Linked DNA regions of Styela clava. The protein of the gene in region 2 interacts with the protein of the main gene of each other region in a pairwise test. Links are inferred from orthologs where the notes say so. Each region holds a gene or a part of one and is shown on either strand. Other genes may lie near its edges. The genes, in order: CCR4-NOT transcription complex subunit 2-like and pumilio homolog 1-like.

What was found.
Region 1: the proteins of pumilio homolog 1-like (region 2) and CCR4-NOT transcription complex subunit 2-like interact in binary tests that used the Drosophila melanogaster proteins (3 or more experiments, as listed by UniProt). The link is inferred for Styela clava from reciprocal best matches to the Drosophila melanogaster genes pum and Rga.

The regions. Positions count from the first base shown.
Region 1 is NC_135255.1:11,666,744-11,683,266, reverse strand, and holds the start of CCR4-NOT transcription complex subunit 2-like, read left to right. Parts: upstream 1-9,866; 5' UTR 9,867-10,058; coding exon 10,059-10,100; intron 10,101-10,223; coding exon 10,224-10,298; intron 10,299-11,049; coding exon 11,050-11,101; intron 11,102-11,285; coding exon 11,286-11,403; intron 11,404-12,901; coding exon 12,902-13,081; intron 13,082-13,157; coding exon 13,158-13,182; intron 13,183-14,152; coding exon 14,153-14,309; intron 14,310-15,187; coding exon 15,188-15,289; intron 15,290-15,427; coding exon 15,428-15,532; intron 15,533-16,449; coding exon 16,450-16,493; intron 16,494-16,523. Other genes in the region: pleckstrin homology domain-containing family H member 1-like, read left to right, coding at 21-198, 670-828, 1,887-2,051, 2,916-3,097, 4,466-4,589, 6,014-6,103, 6,919-7,044, 7,648-7,719. UniProt on the Drosophila melanogaster protein: Component of the CCR4-NOT complex which is one of the major cellular mRNA deadenylases and is linked to various cellular processes including bulk mRNA degradation, miRNA-mediated repression, translational repression during translational initiation and general transcription regulation.
Region 2 is NC_135255.1:4,098,884-4,115,647, reverse strand, and holds the start of pumilio homolog 1-like, read right to left. Parts: upstream 6,238-16,764; 5' UTR 6,080-6,237; intron 5,923-6,079; 5' UTR 5,903-5,922; coding exon 5,786-5,902; intron 4,408-5,785; coding exon 4,300-4,407; intron 3,075-4,299; coding exon 2,876-3,074; intron 2,423-2,875; coding exon 2,280-2,422; intron 1,620-2,279; coding exon 1,498-1,619; intron 1,421-1,497; coding exon 1,206-1,420; intron 573-1,205; coding exon 379-572; intron 1-378. Other genes in the region: polypeptide N-acetylgalactosaminyltransferase 11-like, read right to left, coding at 8,336-8,497, 9,012-9,130, 9,334-9,563, 9,780-9,943, 10,054-10,169, 10,906-11,017, 12,197-12,329, 13,077-13,161 and 4 more. UniProt on the Drosophila melanogaster protein: Sequence-specific RNA-binding protein that acts as a post-transcriptional repressor by binding the 3'-UTR of mRNA targets.

The DNA.
Region 1 (16,523 bases), about 7.6 Mb from region 2:
TGTGTTAAAATTTTTTCTAGAGATGAAATAGGACAATATGCAATATATTGCCATCGTGCCTTGGGGCGAGCTCTCACTTGTGGACGTCGCACTTCTCCACCATCTCGTACTGAAACCATTTCTATATTATTGCAAAATCCATATCAACATTCATTGCCATTCAGTATTCCTGTTCATTTCTGCAATGGAAAATATGAGGTTCCTGTTTTTTACATTCTTATTCTATTAATTTAGCATATCAGGTTATTGTGGCATCATGCTAAGCATTAGCAATACACTTACCATCGCATCTCTGACTCAGGGACGTGGTCAGGAATTTTTGAAGGGGGTTTCTGGACCTTCTAATTGTCAAGTTAGGTCGTAACAGCCAGCCAAAATGGGGGTCAGACTCTGGGTACACCCCTGCTTTTACTACCCTACGAGAGTTTGTACGTTCAACTATGTGAACTTGCAAGAAGATTTCTAGACCTTATCGCCTTAGGTTAGTTCTGCGGTTAAGGCCTTTCTCCACAGTCTAGTCCATGCGTCTGAAACAAAAAATTGACTGACTAATCCCATACCCGGCATGGACTGATAACCGGACGAGAGGCCGTAGTTCGTCATATGATTAGCCGTCTTAACGGCTTTTCCTTCCCCCGGAATGAATATGTAAATTTTCTTGTATAATAGGTTGTTAGTTACGATGCATCAACTGGAGTTGAAGAATTCACGAAACGTGCTTGTCAACAAGCTGGATTGAGAAGTTCTGCTTTTTCTGGTTTCGCACTTTTCACTGAAGATCCTCTAGATGATTCGAACACGAATCATCTTGTCTCATCTAATTCAAAGGTAAAATGAAATCTTTGGGGGCTCCCGAAGTATGCGAACCAAGATGGCGGACATCGGAATGTAATATGTGTACTAGGTTAGGGTTAGGCCATAATTTTAGGTATAAATACTACGGGAGGATCTGGGCTAGTCTTCGAACTGATAATAGGACTGAAATAAGGAAAATCGGAAAAAAATTATCGCCTAACCCTAACCTGTTACCCATGTTACGTTCCGATGTCCGCCATCTTGGTTTGCATACTTCGGGAGCACCAATCTTTGAATATATGGAAAATGGGTGACAATTTGAGATATGAACAAATTGTGAGAAGACAAATTCTAATTTGGTTGACACAGACCTAATTTAACTGTAACATATACCGTAACTCAAATTTGTTACGGAAGCATGCATTGTCTGAGTGTGGTTATCCATCTTCAGTGAGATGTATATACAACATGAGGATATTAAATTAGAATGCGATTTATGCATAATATCATATCAAATTGAAGCGATATGTGCTGATGTGAAATTGAATTAAGAATTAAGAATTAAATAAACCTTCTAAACACAAATTTAGCATGGGATGTTTGACCTCAGACTTGACATTAGAATTTGCAACTGAAGTATTAGTCTTTTGCATGTCCAAAGTTTGCATTTGGACATTTGCATGTCCAAATCGGTATAGACAATGATCTGAACTAACGCAGCCACTTGAAAGCAATTCCTTATTCTGGCCCTTGGTTGAGGAAATTACGACCTGGTATCGCAACTCCAAATAAACTAGGGCCTACTAGGAACACTTTGGCATATGCCTGCCATTTTTAATTCGTTAAGAATGATTAGTCAACTTCACGCTTACTTTGTTACCGTCAGAGATTTTAACTTTGATTACAACCAAGGAAGGTCTAAATTTTCGACTCATTACGACTTCTGTGTTATAAAAACATCCAAAATTTAAAGATTCCACATTACTGTCACCTCATTGTTAGCGATTGGCGATGGTATAACTTATTTTGTCATCACCAGCCCAGTAGTTATTATCCCTTTCTGATTTGATCTTCCTAAAATTGAATTTCAGATTTGTGATATCATATCAGAATGGGAACGTACTTATCGAGAAACAACTTCTAACAAGGTTATTGATTCATCGAGAATGGTTAAAGTAACTCTTTGTCAACATTTGTTTCTTACGTCAAACCAAGATGGAGAAACCGAGAAGGAAAAAATTCTGATTGCTTATCAGGTGAAAATTCTACAAATAAATATGATTCAATAATGCTATTATTATAACATAACATTTTATGATTGTCTACCATGAATAATTTTCATTTGGACTAGAAATGTGTGAATGATGAACTGGCTTTCAATATACCTATTTGGGTGTGTTAACCCAGTTGTTAGAGAGTTGGAACTAGCGCTGTTGGTGTTGCAGTTGAAAGATCTTAGCTTGTTAGTTAGCACATCACACTTGCTATTATGTTCGAGAGGATTGATGAACTCCTTGCCATTGTAGGGTGGGTCACTTGGCCAATTATGGTCCATGCATTCTAATTGAATCACTAACTATTTTCATACTTGACATTGACTGGTAATTGGTCGAGGCCATGGATCGTCTTATAATTAAATCTTTTCGTCGACTTTCCTCTCCATCAGGATAAATATGACAAATCATATCCCAGGGGTGGGCAAATTAGGACCTGCGTGCCAGATCCGGCCCATCTGTGTCTGCTGAATTATGTTTTTTTTTTTTTTGGATATAAATTTCCATTGAAAATATTGATGAAAATAACGTCATAATGAGCCTGATTATCATATTGTGCTCCTTATTATTATGTAATATAGTTATATATGTTTGACTAGCTTTTGTAAATAAATTGTTTTTTATCCATAGTTTTTCATATTAAGTTGTGAGCCTCCTGTAATTAGCCCACTCGGAGAAGTAATTTCCCTACCCTGTCATAACCAGATACAATGTCCACCACCTAGTCCTCCCAAAAACAGCAGTTCTTTCCCTGTTGATGGCTTATGTCTGTTGTAAGGTTTCACAATGGATCAACAAAATAAAATGAATTTAAACCGTAGTCATATAAATATGCTATGTTTTTAGGTTGCAGATGAAATTACATCAGATCGCTTTCCTGTGACAAGAGAACTTGCAATTGAACTATCATCAATATGTGCTCAAATGCACGAAGGAGATATGAGAACTGCTGATCACAGCATTAAAGATATCTTGGAGAAATTTTATCCCAGAAGATATATAGATAATGCTAACAAACAACAGCTAAGGTAAGCTTTTGTAGTGATAATCTGTAGCAAATTAACTTTATTAGGAATTAGATGGATGTGTATCTTATGTGGTAATAAAGAATCCAAGAATCCATGGTTATTTTTCGTCAAAATTTTTTTTGATATTTTGTACTTCCATTTGTCTCTTAAGATTATTAAGTAAGTACGGTAAGTTTATTTCGACTCCATAATCAGCAATAGACGATAAAATAATTGATAAAAACAAAATAAATAAAACTGATTATAGAATCGGGAAAACAAACGAAACCTAAAGTAAGGTTTAAAGCGTACAGATTTTAGGTGGAAAAGTATTGATAAATGTAGTAGTACTTGTTCGCTTAAGATTATTCATCAAGTTTATCATTATAGTTTAGGTGATTTTAGCCAATATTCGACTCTAGTAGATTTGAGACCTATTTATCAGATTATGATTTCAATCAATATTTAAAAGGAAAGAAATATATTTCTCACGACTTCTAACCTCAGGATAGGCGTCCCAAAATGCCTTGCTCTTGTCTTACCACCAATTGTTTAAATCCCATTTTACATGTTCACTCTGACCTAGACTTTGAGTTTTTGAGTTACTTTCCGGTTCAACTGTTTAATTCTTTACAGCAGTGGTTCCCAGACCGCGGCCGGCGGGCCAATTACCGCACGTGTAACGATTCAATATGGCCGGCTGAACTTAAGTGAAATAGTTTAATACTAATATGTTTTTCCTTTTTACGTTCCAGATAACCGCCAATTGTTATGTCATTATCACAGTTTAAGCATGTGTATATCCGTAACAATTAGATTAACCGGTAACCTAATTATACGTACCGGTACCGTTATCAGCCCGCAAACATCTCTCTGCTTCTAATTTTGGCTCCTTGTCAATCAACTTTGGGGACCACTGCTAAACACAGTCCCAACCAATTTCTCTTTATCGATACTTATGACCAATGTTCCCTCTAATTTTTGTAGTTTGTGTGCGCAGAAATTTTGGTGTGTGCGCACTTTTTTGGAAATGACTAATATTTGTGCAAAAACCAAGGAAGAAATTTTGGTGTTCTAACCGGGTAATAAGTGGGCTTATTAAGAAAATTTTGGTTATTCAATTTTTCTATAGATTGTAAATGCTTCAGTAAAGGCTATGTGTTATCAGTAGATAGCAATGAACATACATGGAAAATAGCAAATGAAATTGATTGTAACAGATGGTTTTATTTGAATTCAAATAAAGGGTGAAAAAAGAACCTTGTTACATTATATCGAAATACGTCTGTGCGCAGTAAATCTATGCGTGTGCGCAGCCTCTGAAAGCTGTGTGCGCGCGCACACCTTAGAGGGAACACTGCTTATGACTTACTTTATTTGCTTCTATAGACAACTTCGGGCAAAATTATGTGAAAAATGGACAATGTTGAAAAACACTTCACCCAGTGAGTGTGCCAGAGTTATTTTAGCAACTACAAGGAAATGTACATTGTATGGAGCAAAATTATTTCAGGTAATAATAATTTATATCAGTGAATTTAGAAGCAAGAAATTCACAAAATGTACATCTCCATGAAACTCATATTTATAACCTCAAGTCAGGGGTGGGCAAATCACTGCCCACTGGCTGGATCTGGCTCACTTGCATCTGCTGAAATTACGATTATAGAATTTATGTATATAAATTTCTTCGTCGTAAAAACGTCGATGAAAATCACAATATAATGACACCCGATTGTTACATTGTGCTGTTAATATTATATGATCGTTACCCTAGCTGTTGGACACCTGCTGTAAATGAACTATTTTTCATTCAAAGTTTTTCATACTGAATTTTAAGCCTTCGGAGTTCGGACCAGTAATCAAGTCTTATTATCTGTAACTGGTCTACTCAGAAAAGTAATTGCCCACTCCTGCATTAACCCTTTTTGTGCGGTGGGCACGTATACGTACCCACGACAAAACTCGCTAGATTGCGGCGGGTACGTTGATGTACTCCACTGTTTTATACAGCAATCGGTCGCAAACTGTTGGTCTAGTTTTTCCGGGTTTTAGTTTGTTGATAAGAAGTCTTCATCGAGATTAACCCAAGCGACGGTAAATCTCGCTTTCGTTTACCATGGGAATTTTATTTGCGGCGGAACGAGGGAGTGTTTTTGAAATTTATGCAAATTTCGGTATTTTTTGGGTGGTAATAGAAGACATATTATCCCTTCCATCTACCAAAGTATTTTGAGTTAGATAACGAAATTGCTACAGCAATATTATGCTATTGTTTGCCAACCAAGAAGCGGTAACAGTAAAGGATTTAGCGAATATTTCTATTTTTTATCACGGTTTGAAGTTTCAACACCCAAGAAAAAAAAATGCCTTTTTTCTATCCGGTTTGTGACTCAGACCACCCCTTTTGAAAAAAAAAAAATTTTTAATCGCCAATTGCAAGCTCTTTAAATAAGCTTTCCAACGAGACGTCAGTGGGCAGCAGAGGATCATTACTTTTTCGTTAGTCGATCGATTAGTTGTGGGGGTACAAATGCATAAAGTCGGCGTAGCAAATACGATTATTTAATAAAAAATAAAAATCGCATGGAAAGGGTTAAATCTATATTCTAATTTTGCATAGAAAAATCATCTGTTTTTGGGTAGTAGCCATGAAATGATGCTTTTTCTATTGTTTTTAACAACTGGTTTTAAAAAATATCAATGGATAATGCCTTTTTTGTTATTTTGTTAGAAATGAGAAATCTGATATTGAAAACAGAAAAGAAAATAGGAAAAAATATTTGAGAAGTGTCTCAGTATTCTTGATTTGATGAAATTGAATCAAATTTTAATGTAGATATTACTGAAATTTAATACATTTAACAATACATTTTTAATACTTTTTCATCTCTCGTGTAGAAATATATTGAAAGATCTTTCTGTTTCTTTTCGCAGGTTGAAGTAAACAGAAAACATAATAAATTATCAACAATATGGTTGGCAGTACATGAACATGGTGTTAATGAATTGAACTATGTTACAATGGTTTGTATTTTGAACACTTTATTGTCAGTGATTTAAATCAGGGGTGTGCAAGCTGGGGCTCGTGGGCCTAATGCGGCCCTCAAGGAAAAAATTGTGTGGCGCTTGGAGAGGTGCCAATTTTGAATGATGTGCGACCCGTGAAGGAGTTTTTAATTTAATTTGGTGTCTGCGAGTAATTCCAATCTTTTTGCATTGAAAAGCCTATACCCGAGTCCAATTTATTATCTATGCCTATGACTTTACAATGCCGTAACAGCTGGCTTGTGCAAACAACGCAAGATCAATAACCAAATTTTTGTGCCTGCAACTAATAGGTAGCCTATGCTAAAAAAGATGCGGCCCGCAGTTTCACCCAGTTATTTGTATCTGTCCCTCTTGTATTAATAAAGGTTGCACACCCCTGATTCAAATTATCATTTCTTATTTTACTAACAACTGGTCTGATTGAGTGAATTAATATTAAGCTGTCTTATGAGTTTTAAATTTGAAGCGAGTAATCATTCTTATACTTATATAAACATGCATATTGTAGGCCTGTATTTGTTTCTTTTTGTTGGGTTATATATGAAACTTGTCTTGAAAAATGAAAACGAAATTTTATGTCAGATTTTTGAAACAAAACAATTTTTTTGACTTACTATTTTTTACAGCCCAAAAGGTGCACTTTAATTCTTTAATAACCTATTGTGTCTTATAGCCCGGTGCGCCTTATGTATAAATAAAAACCCAATCTAAGCATTTATTGACATGCGACTTATGGTCTGTGGAATGCGGTAGTCCATATTTTCTGGTCATCTTTTTTTTTCTATATTCAGGCCATTGAAAACACTTACAAGTACCTAAATATCATGACATATGGTGGATGTGACAACAGATTCATGATTGTTGTTGAAAAAGAAGGTGTTCCTGAAAAGCATTTCTACTCCATGTCTAAGGAGAAGGTCTGATTGTTTTAATATTATTACTGCACTTCAGATTGATATACCAAGAACAATTAAAAAGACTGGCTGACCAAAAAAATAGGGTCTTAGTAGTTCTTTTGATTGACTTATAGTCCATCTGTCTTCAAAACTTCTGTCATCATTACTTTTACATCACTTGACCTGGCTAAATTTTTTCGCATTTTTGATAATAATTTAATAATAATTAATTGATAAAATTTGATAATACTGGAAATCATAAAAAAAAATACTTTCAATGAAACCGGTGTGCTTGTATATTTTTGCACTAAAGATGGAATTATAAATTAGTGTCAAAAAAGATTTTACCGTGACCCAAATTGAGCTTTTTTGCGACCCACCGGCGGGTCGGGAACCCTAATTCGAAGAGCTGGTGAGTGTGACAAAATTGACTATACGGAGCACACCAGACGAATGTAGGTCCTTAGTAGTTTTCTTTGTATTCTTTTCTTTGCCATTTTAGAAGTGAAAGCGTTGAATGCCCCATACAAACGTAAAAGTAAAGTTGCAGTATCATTGTCCAGATACTGCCACTTTGGCATGTATGCTTTCAATTATCGTAATATAAAATCCGTTGCTTTGCAGGCATCTGAGATTGTTCATCTGATGACCGAATACATGAAAGTATTCACCGCAAAGAAGAGATATATTCCATGATGCTGCTAAGCCAACTAGTATTAATCATTGATATTGCATTCTAAAATGGGCGTCAGCTATTAGGCATGTGTAGTATTGGAAGATGTGAAATAAAAATGAGTCTTCTAGCTGGAATAAATGGAAACCGTCTGCATTAGGATGCTCATCTTGGAGCATGATATTTATCTCAAGAAAAAGGAATTGGATTTCGTATATATGGAGCTTTACACTCTTTGTTAATAATTACTGAGTATTTAGGAAGGATATCAGAACCGGGATCATTGGTGTTTTTGATAACTTTTCTATTGTGTGAGGGCCACCAGGAAAAGATCTTGTTTCAAAATACTCGCAATTAGTGATATCTTTATATTCATAATGATTTTTGAAATTAATGCTGTTCATCATGAAATCACTGATTATTTCTATGGAACTTTCTTGAACAATAAGTTCCATTTTGGTTATTTGAATTCAAATTTTCCTGAGGGGAATCTTTTGAATAATCCCTACTCACAGTATCAAATGTTGTGGTTTTTGAATTTCATATATTTTTTTTTCATTTAAACTGTATACTATATTTTATTTATGATGCACTTATTGATATCATTTATAATTTTGGTGTTTTAGCAGCTTGGTGCAACTTGAAGCATGGTTCTTAATATTTTTGATCCTTATATTATTTCTTATTCGTCAACATTAGGTATTTGGAATTACCTCTTCATTTAAGAAGTAAAAGAATCGAAAATTGAATTTGTGCTATGTTTATAATTTTGTGGTAGACTTTGTTAGTTGGAAATGTTAGTGGGGCTTCCGAAAGAGTTTTGTTCAGTTATCCTGGTAGAGAGGAAAAGTGATAGGATGGCTGTTGGTCCGGCAAAAGCTCTTGCGCCAAAGACTTACGTTCCTGAGAGCCTGTAATGGCTGTCACTTTCGTTTGCCGAATTATCCTCCACTAAGCGCGCTTTCATCTATACCTGCTTGAGCCACGAAGTCTAGTTTCAATTTCCAGGAAAATTGATGCGTCACTTTGTTGGCATTCACTTCCTAAGCGAAGAAGCCTCCAATATTCCCAATGAGGATTTTAGTAAATGGATTGCTCAGCTAGTGATTATGAAATTTCTCTGGTATTGTGTGAATTCCAGAATGAGTTTGTTACCATAATTTGAGAGAAAAAAGGTTCAACCATGGCTTCTTGAAGTTCATATTTACTTGTAAAAAGATTCTACCATTTTGGGATTCTTACATGCTCTGCGAAGGCGTTGACGCATTCCACAAAAACTAAAGTAATGCAAAAAAAAAAACGAAATACGGTACCGTACTGCCTTTTCCTTGGATGCTTCGTAAGCAAACCCCTGGAGCATATTTTATAAAATCTATCTTTCATGCATTGCCAGTGGTAGGAAAGTATTTACATGTTTATCTTGGGGGAGAGGAAAGTCGATGAGACGGCAAACCACGGCCCCTCTTCTGGTAAGGGATTATTCGATGAATACATTAGTTTTATTGATAGCTGCAGTAGAGGGTAAAATACATCATAGGTAATAATTTAATCGAAAAATTAAACATTTCAAAATGACGAAAGAACAAATAACCGGCTATATATTCCTAATATCTGTCCTAGGTTGGAAACCAAATTCAGAGAACGTAGTTTTCAGTATGTGTAAGGCCTCATAATGGTTCTTCGAAAAATCTATTTGAAGATTTCTCATTTTAAACTCATAAGTAATCGAAACAATCACTGAAATCATGCTAGATATTTAGTCCAAACAGTTTAGAAAAAATGTTGAGGCTTTAATATAAGGACATTTGTAACAGTAATCAGCCCTGTGTAAAAAGGTTCATGAAAATTGACTTGTATCTCGAGAAAGTGGGATGATAGGAAATGATTGAAACCTCCGAAGATTCGGAGTGTTCGACTTGGTTTTCACCCTTATGTCTTGAGATTGTCAAGTATATAAAATGGCGTAGCATGGTTGTTAAAATTTTAGTCGGTAAAAATTGATATTTGCACTCAGATATTTGTTCGACATTAAACGAAATAATTATTCGTTTATATCGAGTAATATACATTTCCGCGTTCAACGTTTTCCGGTAAATAATGAATCCGCGTCGTTTTGCCCTCCAGTGGTAAAAACAATTTCTTGTATCCGACTGTGGGTATTTTGTCAACTAACCCAGGGCCAGAGGCAAGATCGCTTTGTTTGCAGCTCTTACATTATTGTTTAGTGTTCTATTCCGTCTCTTGTGGGAATTTGCTGGTGTTTCATCATTTTGTATGTTTTATTCTCCTAGTTGACGATATTTACATTGTATCTATAGTTGTGCAAGGCACATGGAAAACTAATTAGTACAGTTTCCACAATATGTTCAGTTCTGGTTTTGGCAACACGCCAAAGAAGAATATGGTAAGTTGTTTTTTTACTTGAAATTTTTGATAAAATCATTGAAGCTATGAATTTGAAATTCTTTATTAATGTGACACTGAACTATTTCTCAATCTTATTCAATTATATAAATTCATTTCTAAGCTCTTTGAAGATAACGACATGACAGGAGGACTTGAAAGCATGGGGTATCTTAACTCTGGAAGTTCTGTAGCGGACGTAAGTAATTCATGTCATATGTTAGTCAAAGATTCAATATTTTTAGTTTTGATCTAACCAAGGTAAACAGTGCATTGGTTTAACCATTGCGGCATAATTGCTAAAAACTCTCGAATGCTGCTCGTAAAATTTTTGTCTTTTAATTAGATAATTTTTTTACAAGGAATCCAACGGTGATGTTTTTAGATTGGGCTTACTTTTAGATTATTGCGCAGTGTCATTTCGCGGTGTCTCTGAAAGGAGGGGTTTGCACTCACTGTTATAATTGATGTCTGTAATATGGGGGCTATTCCTGGAATCGCAGAACTGTGCCTTGCTGATGTAGCAGCCCATGAGCCCTATATCTGTATATTGAAAAGGCTATTGAAATAGCGAATGGAACCAGAAGTGAAAGTATTTTTGTTGCAGAGTGATTCATGTGGCCACTGGTCTGTTTCGACCTCATCCGCTATCAGAGTATGACTGGAATTGGTGACAGGACAAGAAACCTTGGTCCACCATATGATAAAGCAGTCTCTTTTTTCCTGTGATAGATATAAAACAATATCTTGTTTTTAGTTTTCCATCCTTGTATCTGGTTGCATAAAATGTTGTATTTAGCAAACATATTAGAACTTCATGCAGCAAATCTTAATCAAATAAAACTTCAATCGCCGCCATCTAAACTTAAATAACAAATACATCTCACTCTAAAAAATTTATTGGTTATAGATTGTGTTTGTTTGATTTTGAAACTTTTTTTTTTTTGCAGATGTTAGGGCAGTCTCAATCTTCACAATTTTCTCCATTATATGGACAGCAGAGTAAGTTAATTTCGTCAAAATTCATAGCGTTTCTAATCGAATACGAATTAAATTATCGTAAAAAAAATTTTTTGATGTGTGAATGCTACATGATAATTTACAGTTACTACTTCAAGCTGTGATACTTGAACCTGTAGGATAAAATGACATTGAAATATTCATTTTCTTTAATTTATTTTAACAGAATCCAATACAATGGGAGGTTTGGGTCAATTTGGTCGGAGTTTTTCAATACCAGGGAATTTAACACCAACAAGTTTAGGAGGAGAAATGTTAAATCAACAACAACAACAGCAGAACAGGTTCGCTCAAAAAACATTTTCACTGATTTTTTACACATATATTTTATGTCTTTTGCTTGGAACAAGGACTTATACAAGCAGGCCCTGATATGTAAGTCTACTATTTTCAGGATCACAATCTTGTCGGGTCGGCATTGCCTACCCATTTTATTACACCCTGGGTGAGTTGGTGGGTGTGGGATTTGAACCTGAGACTTGTTACCTGTGTTTCCAACACAGTTGAGTCTAAGGCTTCAACGCAACGGTTTCCAAACTTTTTGTTCGTGTGGTGCAAAATTATCAGGGAAAACTCAAAACTCAAGACGCACTTACTCGAAAAAATGCTGCTTTCAAGTAAAACTCAGTTTTGTGATCGTTTATGTTTACTCCATACCTTTGCTATAGCAACTTTGATTTACGGGAACCAGAGCTCTGAGAACAAAGAGCCGCATGTTGCCGATCGCTGATATAGAATATAATGCAGGAGCTTGTTCCATCTATGTGTGACCCATATTAACCTGATTCAGACGCCCAATCGAGCCCAATTTTGAATAGATTTTTATTAATGTCATACGACCCCCAAAATTTACCCAATATACAATAATTATATACCATTGGAAAGGTATTTTAGAGTACTATACGCTAGATGTCACTGGAGGACCGTAAACTAAAACACCTCTTTCAAGAGGTCTCTCGTAACGTCAAAAAATAACAAAAATATTTACACTCTCTCATTCTATCAGCTGTTGGACGTCTATACCTATTGTAAAGCTGAAATGTAACTATACAGTTGACTGCACATTGGTTTTCTCTTTCATATGATACTAAACGCTTTTCCATAGCGCGCAATGTTCAAGCGTTTTGGAAATTTTCCGTTTGAGAAGGCACCACATCGAATCAGGCCAGGCTAAGCTTGATAGATCGATCGGTTGTTTGTTTGTGCTTTATCGCGTTGAAAGCTTTTGTGAGTCATAATAAAACATTTATTATGAATCATAAAAGCTTATAATCGTCAGACAAGGAGAATTTGCGAGATAAAAGCCTAACTTTTTTTTCGGTGAGGCAGCTGCGATCAAACGACTCGATATTTTTATAACTTCCTGACGTTGTGAGATGTCCACTCTCCTATGTTATGTAGCATATAAAATGACCTTCAAAATAAGACCTTATCATACTAGCTTTTGTTATTGGTTAGCGCGCAACGCCAAGGTTTATGGAATCATTTTCTTGTTGTGCGACGTTTTTATATCGCAGCGGGAAGTACACGCGTGATATGTAAGCGAAATTTTATCACTTCTAAATGTCATATAAGGTTCATTCTCATATCGTTGTGTGGGGAATAAGATTTCCTTTCAAGCAAGACCATAACAAACATTCCAGACCTCATGGTATACACACAGCATTGCAAAACGTCTGAAACGTCGCGCATGCGTCAAACCGGGAGGATTAGGTTAAAGAAAGATTATTTTCATATATTTTTTTGTTAAAAGAACTGATCAAAATGGTATATTTTACGCAGGGGTATTCCGCCAATGTCAAGGAGTTCTATGTCGATAGGTCCACCCAACCTTCCAACATCACAAATGAATAATAATTTGTTATCAAGACAAGGTATGAGTCCAACAAGAGGAATTTCACCAGATATGCTTTCTTTGAAACAAGGAATGAACAGGGGAAATAATAATTTAATTGGTTCAAGGTAAGACTAGATTGATTAGGATTGGAATGTGTTTATGGTAATATATTTTATTTGAAAATTTTTTGTTTTGTTTCAGGAATCAATCGTTTCAAAATACCCAGGTAAATTTTACTTCTTTTTTTCGAATATGGTTTTTTGAATGCTTAGTATATATACATATTAAAATATCTGGAGATAGAATGAAAAATTATTTAACTTGCAGTATGTAAAACTATTGTCTTTGAAACATATCCTTTTCCTGCTTCAATGCTCTCTTATTTGTTTATTGTATTGGTATTATTCAAATTCAGTTTTTTTATCTTTTTATAGGTGTTAAACCCTTTGTGGTTAGCTCAATTAAAAAATCGCTATCATTTTAAAACTTATTCAAGCATTTAGATTCCCAGCTTTTTTAACTTTAATAATATTTTAAGGCGTTAAAAATGCAAATTACAATATCAAAGGAATATTCGTTTTTAATATGTTTGTTAACTTTTTGGAAAGCCAATAGATGAATAGAAGATATATAGGGTGTCCATGAAGTCTTGAAATTTTTTAAAATTGCAAAGTGAATTTATCATACACCATATATTGTTTTGGCCCTCACAGATGTATTGAATGAAGTAAAAATACTCGAACTTGAAATTACTGATTGATAAACAACAAACCTGGTAAAGATATATTGAGAACTGACTCCATAACAAAATCGAAATTGTAAAGAAACTTTATGGCAATTCCATGCCTTCAGTCTTTATCATTGCTATATTTAATGCACTGAATTTCTCTGTGTGGCATGAGATTCCAGATTAGAATTCCCGAAGAACGGTTTCCATTTGTTTAGAACAGCGGTGTGCAACTTGCGGCCCATGGACCAAATGCAGCCCACAAAGAAAAATTGTGGGGAGCCGCGGAGAAGTGCCAATTTTGAATGGTGTATACCTGAGTGCAATTTATTATATATACCTATGACCTATAATGCCCTAACAGCTAGCTTGTGTGAGGCGAACAATGCATGTCATAAGATCAATAACCAGAATTTTTGTGCCTGCAACCACTATAAATCTTATGTTAAATAAGTATTATTCTCTCCAGTCATCAGGTATGAATGCAATAGGAAGTGAAAATTTATCTCAACTTCGACAACAGCCTCAAGGACCAAATGGTTCATCAGGAATGCTTGACATTAGTGAATTTCCTGCTCTCAAGAGCGGACCAACTATTACAAGCCAAATAACAAATGGTATCTCAAGTGAGTTTGATGCCGTAGAAAATTCTTTCAATTCATCAATATTTTTCCTAGTTCTATTTATTTCTGTGAAATTAATATTGAATTATTCGGGAGTATTACCCTATTTCGGCATTTGGTTACCATATTTTACGGACCATAAGTTGCATTGTAGATAAATTGCTTAGACTGGGATTTCGTCCATAAGGCGCATCGGGCTGTAAGATACAACGGTTTTTGAGGAGTATGTATTCTACGAACCATAAGGTGCATGGTCAATAAATTGGCTAGACTGTTTTTTTTTTCCATACATAATGCGCTTAGGACTATGAGACGCAAGTTCACGCAACAGTTTTAAGGAGTGCCAGGTTATCGTACAAAGCTTATTAAACAAAACAAAAAACACGATTCTTTATGAATATTTATTTTATATAAAGACAACGTAAAATGGCGGTCTATTTATAAAACAATAATACTGTTATTGGTTTTGAGTGTAGGCGATAAAGCAATAGTTTTTTAAGAAAAAAAAAAAGCGTGTTTATGGTCTGTAAAATACGGTACTATTTCATTGCTTTTTTTTTTACACACTTGGGGTACAGTATAAGTCTCTTAATAACCTGGAGTTACGATTCTAAGTCCAGTCACAGTTTATTTGATCGCTAGTAAGATCAAGACCTAGCAAATTTTAAAGTTAGAGTCCTAAGTCAGGTCATTGCCCTCTCTAGCCACTAGTCAAGTCCGCCGAGTCATATAGATCACTTTACCAAAATTAAAATCAGTAACTCTGACTATCTAATATATCTCTACTTATCACTGACTTCTTGCCTAAAAGATTGTTTAGAACGAGAAATTATGAAACACGTTTCAAAATATCAAGTTTATTTACAAACTTTGTTATTTAGATCCCTTCAATCTTGATCAAGCTGAATTTCCAGCTTTGGCACAGAGGGCAAGACCTATTGGATCACAACCATCTGATTCACTTAATTCAAAGCATCCTTATGGTAAATGAAATATTCACATATTTGGATCTTATAACGACATGCTTTCATGTAAATTCACAACTATATTTTATTGTTCAAACAATGCTCATTTCTGCATTGACCTTTTGTAAAAATGTCTCATTGTTTGAATTTACTTAGGTATGCTAAATAAACCTGGTGGAAATTCTGAATTTCAAATACAAAATGAGGATTTTCCTGCTCTTCCTGGTGCAGCTACTGCATTGAATGTTATGAAGCCGTTGTGTAAGTTCTCGATTCTTTATTTATTTAATATAGGTCCAACTATTTGAAATGCTAACTATTTGGAAAAATATTATGTTGATAACATCACAAATGCTTTAAAACTGCTTATTCTGTTTTCTATTGGTTAACTTTTACCAGTGTCAAAGAAATGATAATTTTAAGTATTAGTTTAATAGCATGATTTTTTGTTAACATCTCGAATTTTTGACATGATAGGGTTTTAATGTTTATACACTAAGAGAAGAAAATTAGTCACATGGAGAACCACGGCCTCTTGTGCGGCTGTATACCAAGCCTATGTCTACTACTTCGTTAAAATATTTCTGCTTGTATATCTTTTTCAAAAAAAACACCAATTAAATGGTAATAACTAAAAAGTTTGGTGAGCCGAATTTCAAAATGTATTTCATATAATTCACATTTTTATTTATGCAAATCCTATGTATTTATACAAAACAATCCAAAGTGAGTTTTATATCTGACACAAAGTGTATGCATATTTATTATTGTTGGTTTTGTAAATAAAAATCTGTAACTAATGGACCGATCAATTTCAAAGTTTTCATATTTTAAAGATTTATTTTTTGAATTATTTCATCACAAATTTAGCTGTTTTCATTTTAATTCATGTGAAAATTTTTATGTGGTATATGGGAACACTCTTGGCCCCTCGTGCTCATGTTTGTGAGCATTACTCTAGTTATAGAGAAGTGTTCAGCTGTAAAAAAGTCATTTTTTTTTCCAATTATTTTTGTTAATAAACCTTTGTTTTTATCTAGTTCCAGAACAAGATCAGCTGTTTTTCTTTGTTAATAAATCTATGTTTTTATCTAGTTCCAGAACAAGATGGTTCAGCTGTAAAAAAGTCATTTTTTTTTCAAATTTTTCTTTGTTAATAAATCTTTGTTTTTATCTAGTTCCAGAACAAGATGGCAGAGGTGATGAATCCAGTAGCAAATATGTAAATATTATTTTATTAAATCATGAATTC
Region 2 (16,764 bases):
AGCTAATTTGAATAAAAATGTTTAAACGCTTAATACATAAGAGATTCAGTCAGTATATACCAACGAAGCTGATAATTCAGTAGTTCGGTTGTCTGCAAAACTTTTTTATTCGTTACGATAATCCTTGATAATCTTAATTAACAGCTGAAGAAATTGTTATCTGATAGTCTTAAAATACTTGATAGACTTTCACGACAATGTTCATAGCAGTCAACAGTCTTTGTTTTTTGAATGAATACATTTTTGCTGAGCGAGTTTCTTTAAATTTGAACGATTTTTCGTTTTCAAGCGAATATTCATAAAATCATACATGATTTTACAAAAAATTGAAGTTATTTTCAAAAATCCTACATCAGATTAAAATTATGAAAACCGTACTTGTTGTTGAGCGTTATAATCCAAATTGAGTTGACTCATCTGTTGTTGCAAAACTCCATCAATAGATGTGTTCGTAGATTGACCTTCTGACTGACCAAACTCAACATCACCAGCAACAGGAAATGTGCTCATTTGTGGCTGTTCTGTGGTTCCGGTATTGTCAGATGAACTAGTGACTGTTGCTATACTTCCACCTAATAATAAAAAATTATGAAAATTTTCCAATTTGATCTCGCTAGAAATAAATCGCACATTAACTGTCCATGCTTCTGTAAACTGAAAATCAAATTGAATTAATCTACCAGAAAGGACCAACTATTAATAGGATATTTAGGTACTGGGACAAGATATATTGAAAGTAGAAGAGAAAGTAGTATCTAAAAAGTCCCTCTACCAGCCATCAGCCGAACAGAAGTGATCAGGTCTGTGGTGTCGGAGGTTTAAGATGTTTTTATTGATATCGGAGCAGGAGTCGGGAATCAAAATTTTGAATTCTTTGAAGCCAGAATTAGACTTCCAATAGTGATTATCAATAATAAAATTTCCGACCATAACTTAAGTATGATAAGTATTAAGAAGTTAACAAAGCATCTTTATTAGGCTTGCATATACCAGAATGTTTATGGAGTGGAGTCAAAATTTTTGTCAGTTTAGTGTTTTGTAAATAGTTTAGCCGAAAAGAGCCCCAGCTCCATAGCACCCACAGCGACTCTGATTGTCTCAAGGCTACATAAGTCCTCTCAGGTATTCCATAATCGTTGTGAACATAGCAACCATAACAAATATTAAAATAATGGTGAAAATACCATCAAAAAAATTAGTCTCACCAGCAGATGCATTTTCAGGTGAATCTGAATTCTGACTCTGAGGAGTCTGATCAGTAAGCTGAGAACTGCTTGCAGTTACTTGTACTGTTGCACTACTGGAAACAGCCGAAGGAACTGTTTGAGCCAAGATTGATTGTAATTGCTGTTGATTTGCAGACAGCCTGTGTGCTTTAAGTTCATCCTCTGTTGGAGAATTGTCACGGCTACTTCCAGTTCTACCAAAAGAAAACAATTTTTTCATTTCTCCACAGGATGTTCAAGCCAACAATCATGTATGAACAAAATCCTATACCTTGTGCTCTCTGAACTGGATGTTTTCTGCTCGGAACTAACTCCTTGTAACTTTCCCATTTGGCCAGAAACTGGGTTTGAAGCACCATTGTTGTTGCCACCACTAGTTACCAGAGCAGACGCCTGAAAGAAATGCTTGTTAGACAGAGATATACCAAATTATGGCGGTTTTTTCTTTACTTTCGAACTGAGCCCATAGAATAGTAGTCTGCTGGCTATAAACAGAAGCCTACATTAGGTACCATTCCCCATGGCTATATTGATTAAAGTAAAACTGCCATAGTTTTTTATTTATTTGTGACTGAAAGTAATGCATTCATTCCTTTGCTTTTGTTGGTTTGCTTTTATTATCAACTGTGCATAAAATATTTAATGAAAAGTTCAATTCAGAATTGGGTACTTTTCAAATAAAGCCATGGGTCATAAGTGCTGCGAGTCTATAGAAGGGGGTCGTAGATCATAGAAGTTTGAGAACCACCGATTTGAACAAACATCAGTTTTGAAAGGGTTTTGAAATTAGCATACAGATTTTGGGATTAATCACAAGCTTATTATTTTTTTCTATTTAATCACTAAAACCGACATAAATCAAAATATTCCGCAGGCTACAAGTTGTTAAACAGGGTGTAATCTCCCCTCTCGACAAGGACTTTTTCATTCAAACCCTTTTTATGAATTCCAACAAAAAATAAGAATAACATATGCGCTAATCAGGTGTCCGTTCGACATAGGCCAGGATATTAAATGGCTAAATAACAATGAGAAGTAGAAACAGCATCTTACAAAAGCAGACTGGTTCATCAAGCTGGATGTATCACCTACAGAACCACCAAGTACATAATCAGCAATGTTGAATCCCAATGCAGCAGACGAGTGTGTTGCCAAGCCGATAGGATTACTTCCAGAGTCTGATGTACTGAAGCTGCCTGAAATTGAGCATTACAAATTTCAATAAATTATATATAGTTCAATATTCTTCAGGTGAAACTATTGATTTTTGAGAAAATTTGACATAATAGATGGTTTTATTACAAAACAGACTGTTCCTAAAATGAAAATGATTGCATATAAGAATTCTAGAATATGAATGGGCGGTAAAACCAAATTGTTCATTTTCATTACAAAATTTGCTCCAAGCAAGGTCACGGGGGTGTAGTTAGGAATTTTTAAGGGAGGGAGGGGTTCTGAAATTCCTAATAGCCAAATTGGACTGTAACATCTAATGGGTCCGACCGGAAAACCTGGGTTTTCAAGAGGGTCTAAAAAGCATTTCAAGATACAAAATAGTAGGAATTACATCATACTTGATATTCTTTTATTGCTTGTGTTGGAGCAATCGAGATGTACCACTGATTAAAAAACCCTCAATTTACAATCACCTGTAAGTAAATTTGCTGAAGAGGTCATTGGTAAAGATGGATTATTTGATGGAGTTTTTTCTGTTGGACTTGGTTGGCCCCATGGAGCGCCACCTGATTCTCTGCCCCATTGCTTTGTACCTAGTAATGAAGCTCGATCAGAAGTTCCACCTGTTGAATTTCCATTGTCAATGTTCCACAATTTTGTACCAGCAGAATTCTGCAAATATGAGATCCAACAATAAATTAAAATATCATATAAATGGCAATAACTAGTGATATAAAATACACAGAGCAAATCCTTTTTAGTTGACACATTTATATGGATTATGGCGTTTAAATCGGAGTTTCGACCCTGCGATATCATCATAGCTAACTCTGATGATTGGTGCACTATGCCAGCGCACTTTTTGAATGTCGAAACAGTATAAAAGCTGATTATTTGTAAAGCCGACAGAAATTAAATAACACATGCCAGTAAGATTGGGAAGTCATTTTATGATATTAAATTGATAAGTTTTTCCATATGGAGCCAAGGACAAAAAGCCGAGCATTATTTTTTCTTATAGACAAAAACGCTTTGCACAATATTAGTTAATGGACCAGGCATGCATGATTGCAGTACAAAAAAAAGTAAAATAAACATAAAAATAGTAAAATTAATCAAGATATAAAGTATATGCAAGATTGAAATTATCATAGATTAGTTATGACTGTTCACTTAACCAATATAGCCAAGAACACAAAATTGCAGGAACTTGTGCAAAGATTGATGTAGGGTTATGAAATGACAACATTTGCAGCTTAGGGGCCTACAGATCAATATTTTCCTGGAATAACTTCCAATTTTGTCAAATGGAATCTATGGCAGACTGGCTTATAACTCTTTTTCCACCATTTTAGGTCCAACGAGAATTTTTTTTAATTAAAGATTGAATGGAAATGAATTAAGGCAATCTATTCGCATCTTGTATAACACATGCATTAGTTCTATATACAGTGATACCTCGATACTCGAACGATTCGGTAGTCTATCAAAATATTCTCGTCAAAAATACTTCGGTGCTCGAACACCTCGCAGAGTGAGATGAAGTTATTGCACACAAAAAACTAATCCCATAAAGCCCCTTCCCCTGCCAGAAATTAGCTCAAATGTACAGCAACTAATCGCTTTTTTATAGTTCTATCTTCATTATGTTCAATCCTCATTATGTACACATTTAAATATTTATTGTTCTACAGGTACACGTTTTGTTAATATTTTAGATATTTTGGAATGCGTAAGAACGAATTAAAATAATTATCATTGTTTCTTATAGCAAAAGAAGTTTTGGTAGTCTAACAAATCTGTAGCCTAACACAAATCCAAAAAAAAATATGTTCGACTACCGATGTATCGCTATATAACAATGCACACACATAAATGCACAATCGATAAAACGTACAGAATAGTTAGAGACACCACTCCAAGATGTTTGTGAGTGGTTATTTATTGTTGTCGAAGCAGGATTGGTGAGGGAATACATGGATGTGGGATCGTCTTGGGAAATAATCTGAAATAAGAATTTACATTGCTAACATCATGATACACCTTCGTTTTAAAAATTTGTATTCAATGTAAGGTGCAATTTTTTTAATTTGGAAATCCTTTTTAGCATAAAACAAAGGGCTTGATAATACATCTAACAAATGATATCAAAAATTATTTATTGTTCCATAACTATGACATTGGATCCAATTATTCTTGCACAAATTATGTAAGTTAATCGTGTGCATCATGTGTTCTTCTCACGCATCGAGCTTCCTGCTTCAAAGATGCACATTAATTTCTTGATGTTGCATAATATAGCTGCTAATCAGGAATGGAAGAACTGTGGCATACTGCTTGTCAACAATCTAAAAGGAAAACTCGCGAATGCTATGGTACAAATCAAAGAGTAATTCAGTGGCGACGTTTTTAGATTGCGTTTTCTTATTGCATGGTGCCGGTTTGAGCCCATATAGAGGCCCAGACTGTCTCGTAAAGGAGGAATTTCCACTCACTGTCATAACTGTATAAATTCTAACTTTATATCTGTATATTGCACTACCGTAAAACCAGGCAACTTCGGATTAAATATTCAATTGTTTATATCTCGACTGAATTGCGTCATATTGTGCTTCTGGCAGTTTCTATAGTGAGTCCATATATACCTAAATCTGTTATCACATTCGATCGCGCATTTTTATTTATTTTTTAATTGAAAAAGCACATTTTAGCAAAAAATTGACACTCCATTATCGAGCGGCTTAAATCGCTGGCTTAAAGCAATTGAACCAATCAAACAAATGATCGTTGTTATTTCAAATCTACGACAACTCGTCGGCGCCTGAATGTCTGGCGTAAAATCCGTAACGACGACGCAGCATGACTTCGTCTTCAAAGTGAGCGATGTCAGTGTGACGTCAAGTTAACGTGTGCGTCAGATGCTATTATTGTGATAAAAAAATTATTCGAATTTCAATTTTTTTATGTCTCCTGCGACATCTCGCGATCAGTCTAATTTTCTATATACATTGATAACGCCCTCTATCGAATGTCGACATTTTGCATAGTTAGATTCAGCCAGTCAGTAGGCGTCACGATTTGAACTGTTTGAAAACGGAGTGTCAATTTTATAGTGAAACCTGATTTTTTTAATCAAAAAATAAATTAAACTGCGCGATCGAATATGATAACAGATTTACATATATAAGGACTTACTATAGAAACTGACAGAAGCAAAATATGACCCAATTTAGTCGAGATATAAACGATTGAAAATTTCATCCGAAGCTACCTGCTGTTACGGTATTACTGTTAATAGCGAGCATGCAAACTCTAACTACATCAGAAAAATATTAATTAAAAATGAATCTGAAATTTAGCAGAAAGTATGATCTGAAGCTTACCCCAGCAGTTTGTGCAAGTCTGTTCAAATGCAATTGTCCTGGGGGTAAATTAAAGTTTGGCACACCTTCTGGCCACATTCCTCCCCCTGGTCCACCAACATTGCCAGGTCTTTGCATGGTACACTATTTACAATGGCCTAAACAAAGTTTGAGACTGCGTTTACATTGCATAAAGGCTGATCTGAAACAGCAATCCAAGTATAAAAAAAGTAAGCCATAATCGCATTTGAACCGATAGAATAAACAAATATTCACAACATAACCATGTTGGATAAAAAATAGATAGCTACATACCTGAAATAATATGGCAAACGCTGGATCAAAAATGATATTAAAACTAAGACATCGTCCAGGTACCCGTCATTGTTGTTCCTTCGCCGAAATGAATTGTGGGTAATTCCGTCGCACGTGACGAATGAGAACAACAAACACGTGTGCCGCGAATGGGCTCAACGCTCACCTGGCAGTAACGCGAATTCTCGCCAAAGAGTTACATGCTTTTTGAAGGATAACAAATTAGTTTTACGTTCTATAATGCCAATAATTACTTTCTAATAACGTAATCCAGCTGGAATTAAGATTTCAAAGAAATGCGGACCAACGGTACCGGTACACGTGCAACAAGTAGCGTTTTTCAAATCGTGGGTGGGCAGACTGGAAATTCCGCAGTCCTCCCTATTAGACAAAACTTGCGGCGTAGTGGGAATCGTTGTAACTGCAATATCTTAACCTTCTAATTTATTATTTTCCAAACGTCTTACATCCTAGTCTTGCCTCAAGTTCATTACCAGCCCACTGGTGTCCGGAGTCTCTTTTTTGTAACGGGTTTTGTTTTTAGACATTAATCTTCTTAATTACATATATTTGTTGGACTTCTTTCTATTCTACCTGTATCAAAATTGGACTTTTATCACGGGTGTCGCCGCTTGATAACCAACATTGTTTTTTTCGTGGCACCCTTCACCCTGGAATGCCATTTCCATTCCTAGTTTTTGTTTGCATCAAAAGTATGTTCATTTTGGTGAAAAATAAACTACCGACAGACTGACCAACACCTCCAAAACTGGAGAGCTCTCATAAAAAAACTTAAATGTGAAGACGAAGCAAACTCAATTTAGCAATATTTCCTAAATATATGTGAAGCTTGCATCACCTGGAGAAACGACTGATGTGCATACAGAATTCTACTCTGGTTGCCAAATGCTGACACAATCGATCACAGAAACATTGCAGGATTACTTAGCTCTCTATAATCATAAATACCACAAAAAAAAAATGAAATCATAACATCCGGCCATGTCGTGTAAGATATACCAATTTATCTCATGAGTATAGGAGAAAAGCATGCTAAGGCAAGACATCCCAGTGACTGTCACAATCTTGATGAAACTTATATAAAAAAATCATCAAATGCTACAAAAAGATCATTTCACAGTGCTGAATCAAGATAATGATAAAATTTTAGCTTACGGTATGGATTAATATCAATCAATAGCGATAGGATCATGAGTGGGCACTTCATAAGACTGTTCCAACATACAAAAACAATTATACTGGGAAAATATATGTTGTAAAAGAGGAAGGTATGACAAAATACCCACATATTCAACAAATACATAAAAAAGGTGGCAGTAATGCCGGCCAACAAGACATATCAAACAAAGTTACTGTTTTAGCAGAAGCAATTTCAAATAAAGCCAAGAAAAAAATTGAAGTTTTATAACAAAATTATACTGAAAAATTTAAATTACAGAAACAAATGCCTCTGAACAAGGATTGCATGAAATCACTCCATGACAACTATTAAATTTCTGTGAAATTTCAATATTTTATTGGTTCACACACTGTATCACATTGAATTACCTATCTGTTCATAGACGTAATTCAACATTGAAATCATTGACTTCTATTTTATCATTGTGTCATCAAAACTAAACACTACATTTTGAAAAATTCATACTTCTAATAGTTTTGCATAAAAACCTTTCGTGTAACCAACCTCTTATTAGTTTCAGGCATATTGTTTATAGATAAATTGAATTTGTTATGTTACGCAATGAAGTAGATATTTGATTATAGGTAAATGGTTTAATTAGCTATGTTTTGCTTCGGGTATAATTTAAAATTTATGCACAGGGTTTTCTACCAAAAGATTCCAAATCTATATAAAAATGCATAACAATCTTTCAATACAATTAAAAACCAGTTTTGAAAAGAAAGTCAACAAACGAAAGAATCCCGTATGTTATAAATGTAATATAACACGACGAACAAAATAATTAGAAACTTTTGATAGATATCCAAATATTTCAAAATCATCAGAGTTGAATATACAAGAATGAAAGAGAGTAACCAATATGTATGTTGAATGATATAAAGTACACATCACCTCGATGAATCACAAACAAAGACTATTTCCAAGATAGTGGGGATCAATGACATGGAAATCAGGTAAGTGCAGGGTGGAAAATGCTTTGCTTGTTTGTATGTTAAAATCACGATATAATATATATTTTGTATCTTTCCAAAGTACTTTTGTATCATGTTAGATTATGTTTGCATTGTAAAGGTTTGTACCGACGGACTGCTGCATATTTGCATAATAAGTTCATATTCTTCTTCTTTCAAATCTCCTCCACTTAATTGTAGGCAGAGACCTTCTGAAGCGCTGTACAATCTACCGGTTATCTCGCCATGTTTTGAGAAGTTATCCTGGAAATAATAAACAAAATCTTCTAATTTGACAAAAATATCATGGAAGGCCCAAGTTGATGTAAGATGTGAAGAATAAAAGATGAATGTTGCAAATAAATAAGGTTTCATTGCAGGTGTCACTAAAGTATAAACCATGATTCGAAAAAAATTGCACCTAAATCAATCCAAAGAGTAGATAGAATAATATATAATACAACCAGATGTATCGATAATGTAAAAGGATCGGTGCAAATCCAAATCTAATAAGCAATAATAGAAGTATGGTAAGAACAATGCCGTCACAAAACAACACATAGTTCCAAATTATGAAGGTGGCACGAAAATGTGATCGAGTTTAAATTACACAAGAATCAAAGCGCATGCTGCCTAAAAATGAAGCATAAATTGCGATGTCCTACTTGACAATAATCACCAATGTGCCCTAATTATGAGGCCATATATATCAATGAATAAACGCTATGAATAACACATGTTGATGATTAATATTCTATGAAATAAAAAACTGACGAACTCTAGGAAAGAAACTCCAACTTTGCGTTCCTTCCTCTCCGTTGCATTTCATTAACCTCGGGTTTTCAGAACTTCCAGCATCCATACATAATCTTGATTCACTTCCAAATTTTATTTCACCTGAATAGATTACATCAATAACTATCAAGGCAGAAATCATAAGGGCTGCCTATGATATCTATGCATAGTTTGTTAATGACACAAGACAAGATTGAACTTTATTATATTACTGAATAACTTTTTTCCAATGATTTGGTACCAGTCAATCCAGGTTGGCCAATCGCCTTTTCAAAGTAAGTTCAAATTCTTTCAACACTACATACCCATTCCTGACATTCTCCATAACTGAGATGAAGAAGTTGGATCACATTTTGTCGCAACTATTAGCGATCCTTTCTCCTCATCGCTTTGGAGACATAAATCAAGATCAGTGACTTTAATGTGGCCTCGCTTGATATTTTTCCATTCGTCCATTGATGTAGGCCGATAGTATTTGATTTTGCTCTTTCTTTTACCGGGTATTTCTATCTCAGGGTATATATTATTGAGATACCTAAACAAACGTGAAAAAAATGCAGTTTGAGAAGAATAATTCAAATTCTTATTATGATGATGATAATTTCCATTTTTGCTTGACTTACAGAAAAAGTGAAGTTTTTAGTGAACCTTTGCCTGTATCGAACCTACCTGGGTGGTATATGGAGTTTTTCTTTTAGTTTACCATGCTTGGTTGTAATTTAATGTGGAGATCAACAAAATTAGAAATTACCAGTCAAAGTCGTGGCATTTTAAATCCTTCCTCAATTTCACTCGTGAAGAAATATCACCATAATCCAATTTTTTTGCTGTTGTTCTCTTCTCAAGAAAATTTGTTTTGTGATTATCGAGCCAAACTGCTGCGACACGAGCAGCGTTTCTTGTCGGATTATCAACCTGCCAACGAAGAAGACAACAAGTTAGCATCAACGACTATTCTTTATTTCCTCACAAATGCATCAGAAAATCAAGATCACTGGAATCAGGCTAGTTTTTAAATGTCTTACTTCTTGTATAGAGTTTGGACGTCGTCTTCGAAATATATGTCCAACTCTAGAACAGGGAGCTATTAATAATCTTCCACCACACATCCATAACCGAAACGACAATTCCAGATTTTCTCCTATTAAAAATGAAAATTCATGAAGAAAAAAATTGACATTTATGCAAATATTAATAACATAATCGGTTGTCATAAAATAGCAATTATATTAGTGAGCTTATGTTAAGTCATCATAGTCTAACTTCAGACCAATCAAGATTAAGATATGAATTACAACTTTTTCTAACTATCTCGTGGAAAAATACTAGGTATGTTACTCTCATTTTTTAATACTATCTTGTTAAATCATCCTTGTTACAACAGACACAAGTCATGTGGATCCAAAATAGAAGTAAGCAAAGTGACCTGCAGTTCAATACACAATATTCTAGTGCCATATTCATGATCATTAATATGATCAAGTTTCAATCAATCTTTTTAGAAAAGAGCGTCATTGTGAATATATGAATCTAATTGAGATGCTGTAACCACTGTTTCTATTCAAGATCATTCCAAAACAAGATTCAAACCGGAGACAACATTTAACAACCAGTGCAATAGCCAAGGCAGTTGTTTTACTTAGCCAAGTATTTACAAAACAATAAAATAAGAGAAATTTTCGATGACCATATTGATAACAAACAACTATATTGTTTTATTATACTAAAATAATACTTTGCGTATCTTACAAATGGCACTTTGTGGCATATAGGGCACTTAAGAATACACTTCACATAAAACTCAATCTATTTGCTCAGGAAGAATATGAAGATTTCATTCCTCATGACAGCAATTCACCACATTATACAAAGCTTACCTCCCCATTCTTTCATATCTTCATCATAATAACCAATCTCTTTAAAATACATTCTATTAATTGCAAACAATCCTCCAGCCATGGTAGGGGAAGCAAAGGGCTCTGATGGATCCTGTGTATGAAATCAAAATACATGGCATTAGCAGTTATTATTGTACAAGAAACAGATGTGCATTAAAATCTGGCTATTCAGGTGAAAAACTTCGGGTCATGCATAATGTGGACAAGCAATTTTTGTTTTGATCAGTCTGAAATTTTGATCAGTCTGAAATTTTGACATCTCTAATAAAAGACTTATTTCTCGTCGTTCAAACGCAATAGCAACACCATTAAGGTATCATCACAAGTTTTTTTTAGTCTTTTTGCAGGTGTCGATGATACAGAGAGATATCGAAATTTGTTTTTTCAAAGGCAGTCTTCGAATGAAAATTTTCGAGTGATCGATTTCAATTTTGTCGTCTGTAGTAAACAAAGTAGTGATACTGACGATTTGTCTATTTCAGTGTGTTGTACCAAAACCCATTTTAAACGGGCTGTGAATGCCAATTTTGATATAAACCAGACGCGAGTTATCAATCCAAATTAGCTTCCAAACAGCTTGATATTCGCTCTGATATAAGACGCCTTATACAGTCTGCCGTTTACGCAAAAAATACTATTTAGGTGTCATTTGGAAGAATTTTGTAGTCTCTCTGTGTTGGGTTTTTTGTTAGATTGATAGCTAGCTTTCTCACATTGGGGCTCAGTCAATAAAAATGTGAAAAAATTTTTTAGTTAATGTTTTATTTAAACGATTTGCCTATTTGGATCAAATATTAACATGTTCTAGCAGATATTGAATATAAACATAATGCTCTCACAACCATTCTTTTTAAAATTTTGAGGTAAAAACATGAACACCCAAATGAAATGAAAACATTTAAATTTGTTACCATCTATATAGAGTGATTGCTTTGATTTAGAAATATTTAGTATATTTTCAATCTGAAAATGCATTATCTTGAGCTATTGACGATTGGAAAACATAATTTTATTAAACTTTCAATAACTGTAGAAAATAGGAAGATCAGAACAATTCTAACGTTCAATTCATTGCACCATAATGTCCAATCCCTGCTAATTGACAAATTAAAAATTGTACACATCCTGTGTTGAACACAGTTCAATTTAGAACCTATTCAATAATCCATATCAAAAACGTTATTTCAGAATGTATTCAAAATAGTAAATTATTAAATTTTGTCAATTCTTGGGTAGAAATATGGTAACATTAAATAAACATAATACTCACTTCAACCATATAGGGTAAATCTTCCCAAGAAAAATGTAGACCCCAATTGAAACCACCACGTAAAACAGGTGATGCGATATATGACATCGTCATGGAATTAATAATATCTACTACAGGACAGACAACAGTGGATCTAAAAATAAGGACAGGCTGCGGGTTTGGGATTATGAGACAAACATCATTGAAATATAGATTACGCGTAATCATAAATATCAATAGATTTTCACATCATTGTGAGATATTTTAAAAATACCTAGTTTTGGTCATGCTTAGTCATAAATTTACATGAAATGTTGAAATTTGAACAAGTTACTGAAGAAAACTTGTTAGGGGCAGTCGAATATTTTTTTTTCGGTTTGTATTATTCAAATGAATGACATATATTCCAAGCCAAGCGCTAACTCCTAAATAATAAATTCCCTTATTACAGTATACTTCAATACCTTTTTGTGAAATCGCGACAAGATGATGGTGTCGCAAAAAATATTATGAATTGAAGTAGGTAAGTACGTCAACGACATCACATGTACAAAAAATATTCTAGGTAATGACGCCTTGTGCTTATTTCACAGATAAAAAACACATCATCACGGCCGCACATTTAGTCTATGACGGCCGCTGGTTGTGCACCCCTGCCATAGAACTATTAGGGTGGCAAACATCCAGTTTTAGAAAAAAGATCAGTAATGACTTGTAGATATCTGGTTAGTACTTTCACCTTAAATATAACATACCTTGGATGAAGTGATAACATTGACTGATATAGTGTATCGGAAACTAAAAAAATATTTGATACACAGTATTTGGGATAATATAGATTCCTATGCATATACATGAATGATATTTACCGTACACTGAATTAATATTTTCCTACACATACCTGTTCATTTGCACAATGTCCAATAATGGCTCAATCCAACCAACATTGGGTTCACAGTGAGAATCCAGGAACACCAGCACATCACCTAGAAATAAGACAATATTTTAGGTACTATTTTTTTTTTTTCAAATTGTTTTGATTACAAAAATAATGTAGAAAAAGATGTAACCACAATTTACATGGCAATGTATCACTTTTGGACTGGTCATGATGGAATTTCCTTTAACTTTTTCAATTGTTGGTATAGACCAGGGGTGAGCAAGGTTTTTGGACCAGGGGCCAAAAAGTTTGCCCCCTAGACTGGCGAGCCATGCAAGTGTGCCGTAGTAAAAGTTACATTTTATGAACAGAATTTTATTTACAGTGTTACAAAGGCAAAAGTGGAAAACAATAAGCCAAAACTAAATTTAATCGCAATGTCAACAAATTCTTTGAGCTATTTTTAGCTAAAACATCAAAATTTGGTTTTAGTTTGGTTGTGGCATCGGGCGGGCCAGATTGAACTACCTAACGGGCCAAATTTGGCCCACGGGCCGTAGTTTGCCCAAGTTTGGTATAAGACAGTCATTTATTCATATAACATAGATACAAGAATGTCAAAGCAAGGATCTTAGAGCGAAAGCAATTTACTTCCTATTATGTGTGCAACTCGTGGTGATAATAATGACAGTCACGCTCCAGGAAAACTGAATAGAATGTTGGCCTCACGCTGATCATAATATTGAATCTCTCTACAGTTCGTCAGTTATCAGACAGTCGCATGAAGCAAAACTATCAAAACCATTTTTATATGGAAATAAGTAATAAGTGTTTCTCAAAGGAACAACGAATCAAAACTCATTTTCAAATACTAATGATAAAAATCTATTGGTCAAAATAGGTGAACATTAAAAAAAAATTCTTGGGACTTAGGAGAAATACAGTTTAATCAAATTTGAATTAATAATTCAATATCCAATTGTCTCCCAAATCTCCTAAAATAAAATATAAGAAAACAAGGCCATAATAAGATGCGGTAATGCATTCTATATATATATTCCATATTCATCCTTACCACTGGCCTCTTTTGCTCCCATCAGCCTTGCTCCAATCAGTCCCAACCTTGCTTCTGCATGAATAACTCTTACTTTACCATATGGGTAGTGTTGTTCCAAATATGAAACAAGCTTTTCATTTTCTTCTTCTGCAAAGAAAATACAATTGTGATTGAAGCGCATATGAACGAAAAATCGCTTTATCCACTTCAGAGTTGTCATTGGATCAAATTTGAAGAAACATTTGACACTGGTTTTTATGTATCTCATGTATGGGGAGCACATCGTATATTATCCTTTGAAATCAAGTACTCAGTTTCAGTACTCATGTATTGTGTGTAACAGGACATATCGGGCCATAATTTTATTCCGATTTTCCTTATTTTAGTTCTATTACAAGTTCAGGGACTGTGTGTGTTAGCCAAGTGAATATACCCCCAGCCCATAGGTTTTAGTCGCTTCACACAACTCGATGTTAACTAGGCGAACAAAATTAGTCACCTCCATATTCGTACACACACTTCTAGAGCACCGTAGTTTCAGTATGAAGCTTTGATAAATAAAAAACATTGTTTCTAGTAGAGATGACGCGTACATAACAGTATTGACTAGTTTTATTAAAGGATCTACAACTACAAACCATCAGTATTCACCATTACACCGAAAAAAATTGTGCTGAACCAACACATTCAAAGTTTCCAAACAAAAGTTCGGCTTTTTGAAATAAGAAAGAAAAGCATATAAAAAAAAATTGTCTGTGATAAATTATTAAGTAATCAAACCGTTATCACTAAAGTCATCAACCAATATTAACTCTTGCAGAAGTTGTGGTGGAGTTCTTTCAATCACAGATGCAACAGTACGAACTAATGCTGAGAATGCTTCTTTATGAAAACAAACAATAACTGATGCTGAGACACTGATATTGGAGTATGATTTCTTATGACATCTAGAATAGAAACAAAAACAGATATATATAAAAAGTAAAATTTGTTTGATCAGGATTACATTTCCAAAGAATATAATTATAGGTTATCTATATCCTGATTCATTTCAAATTTGAGTAAACATGGTGATTCATCTTGATTCCAACTATGTTTATGCCTCTGGACATTATAATAAAAGCAGTATTTAGACAGACATAATTGAATACCAATACGAAAAGATCGAATAGCCCATCTGCCCATGGATTTCGTTTTGAAGTTTTGTCAAATAAAATATGAATTTAGTGAATGATATCATCACAAGATTAAGTCACATTAAGTCGCGTGTATTGCTTCAACACATTTACCATAACGAATATCCACATTTTATTAAACAAATAGCTATTTAGCAAAAAAGTGGATTTTCAGATTTTCCAGGAACATTATTATCACATTTCATATAAAATGTCTGAACTCCAAAACTAGCAGTTTTGTGGACATTATAAAAACAATAGTACAAATAGAAATCTGCACAACAATTTTTGTAATAAAATGAATTTTCAAGTGCACTGTAAACTTTTGCCGAATACAATTTCACGTTAGAAACACATAAATTCAAACTCATTGTAATACTAACATTTCATGTCTTGTATCAGGAACAGGTCTTGCAACAGGACCAATCCGATCACTTATCAACACATTGAATGCATGTTTGATTTGTTGTTGCTTGTGATACTGACGTTGACTGTCTGACAATACCTCTCCTTGAATTAAAAGTAAGCATTTTAAAGATATTTTCCATGCCTTTTACTCTGAACAAGGCTGTGTACAAGCAGCCACTAATATGTGAGGGCTGAAACAATTCACTCGAGTAAGTATCTACATTCCAGATTATATCAATTTTAACCTATCAACTAGTTGGATTTTCTATACAAATTTTAGAAAACAAAATCCTGAGGCCTGAAATCAAAACGGAAAGAGTACCAATAGAAGAGTTGCATGCAAATGACCACTGATGCATCAGCATATATATATTTTTCTCTGTGATGATGATGCCTGTAGAAGATAGTTGATAATAGGAGGCTCAAAACATTGTCAACTAAAAATCAAGGTGTAATTCCACAATGCAGAAATTCTTAAGCGTGAAAATTGCATCTACAAGTGGAAACTTTTCATTCATTGAAATGAGTGAAGTAGGTATTTTCAATCGTCAAGTTCAGACATATGCACTTACCGATAATTAAAAATGTATTCAATATTTATTATTAATCATTACGAAATTATTACATTAGAAATACCTGCATTTACAGGTAAACCTCCATCAGATGCATATTTCACAGTTTGATTGATCGAAAACTCATTTTGTGGAATGGAAGTTACAAGACGTCGTGTTGGAAAATCATTCAACTCTTCTTCTGGTCTAAACGCTTCGGACAATCTGAAAAAATGAAATTTTCAATTACAGTTCATTGAATAATAAAAAAGTTAGCACTTTTGAATAATTGATGGATTTTATTTGTAATGATCTATCCAATTTTATTTATATATATATACCACCAAAAAACAACATATTCTAGTTAGAACACGACTTTTGTGCGAAGCATTCTAGATTACTAAACCTTTATGGTACAACCATACACAAACAGAAGTCAAAGTATTCCAGTTTTCAAATAAATTTTCCTAATTTCCATAGAATTAAGACATTTATGGATTCTGACTTTTTTGCGTCAC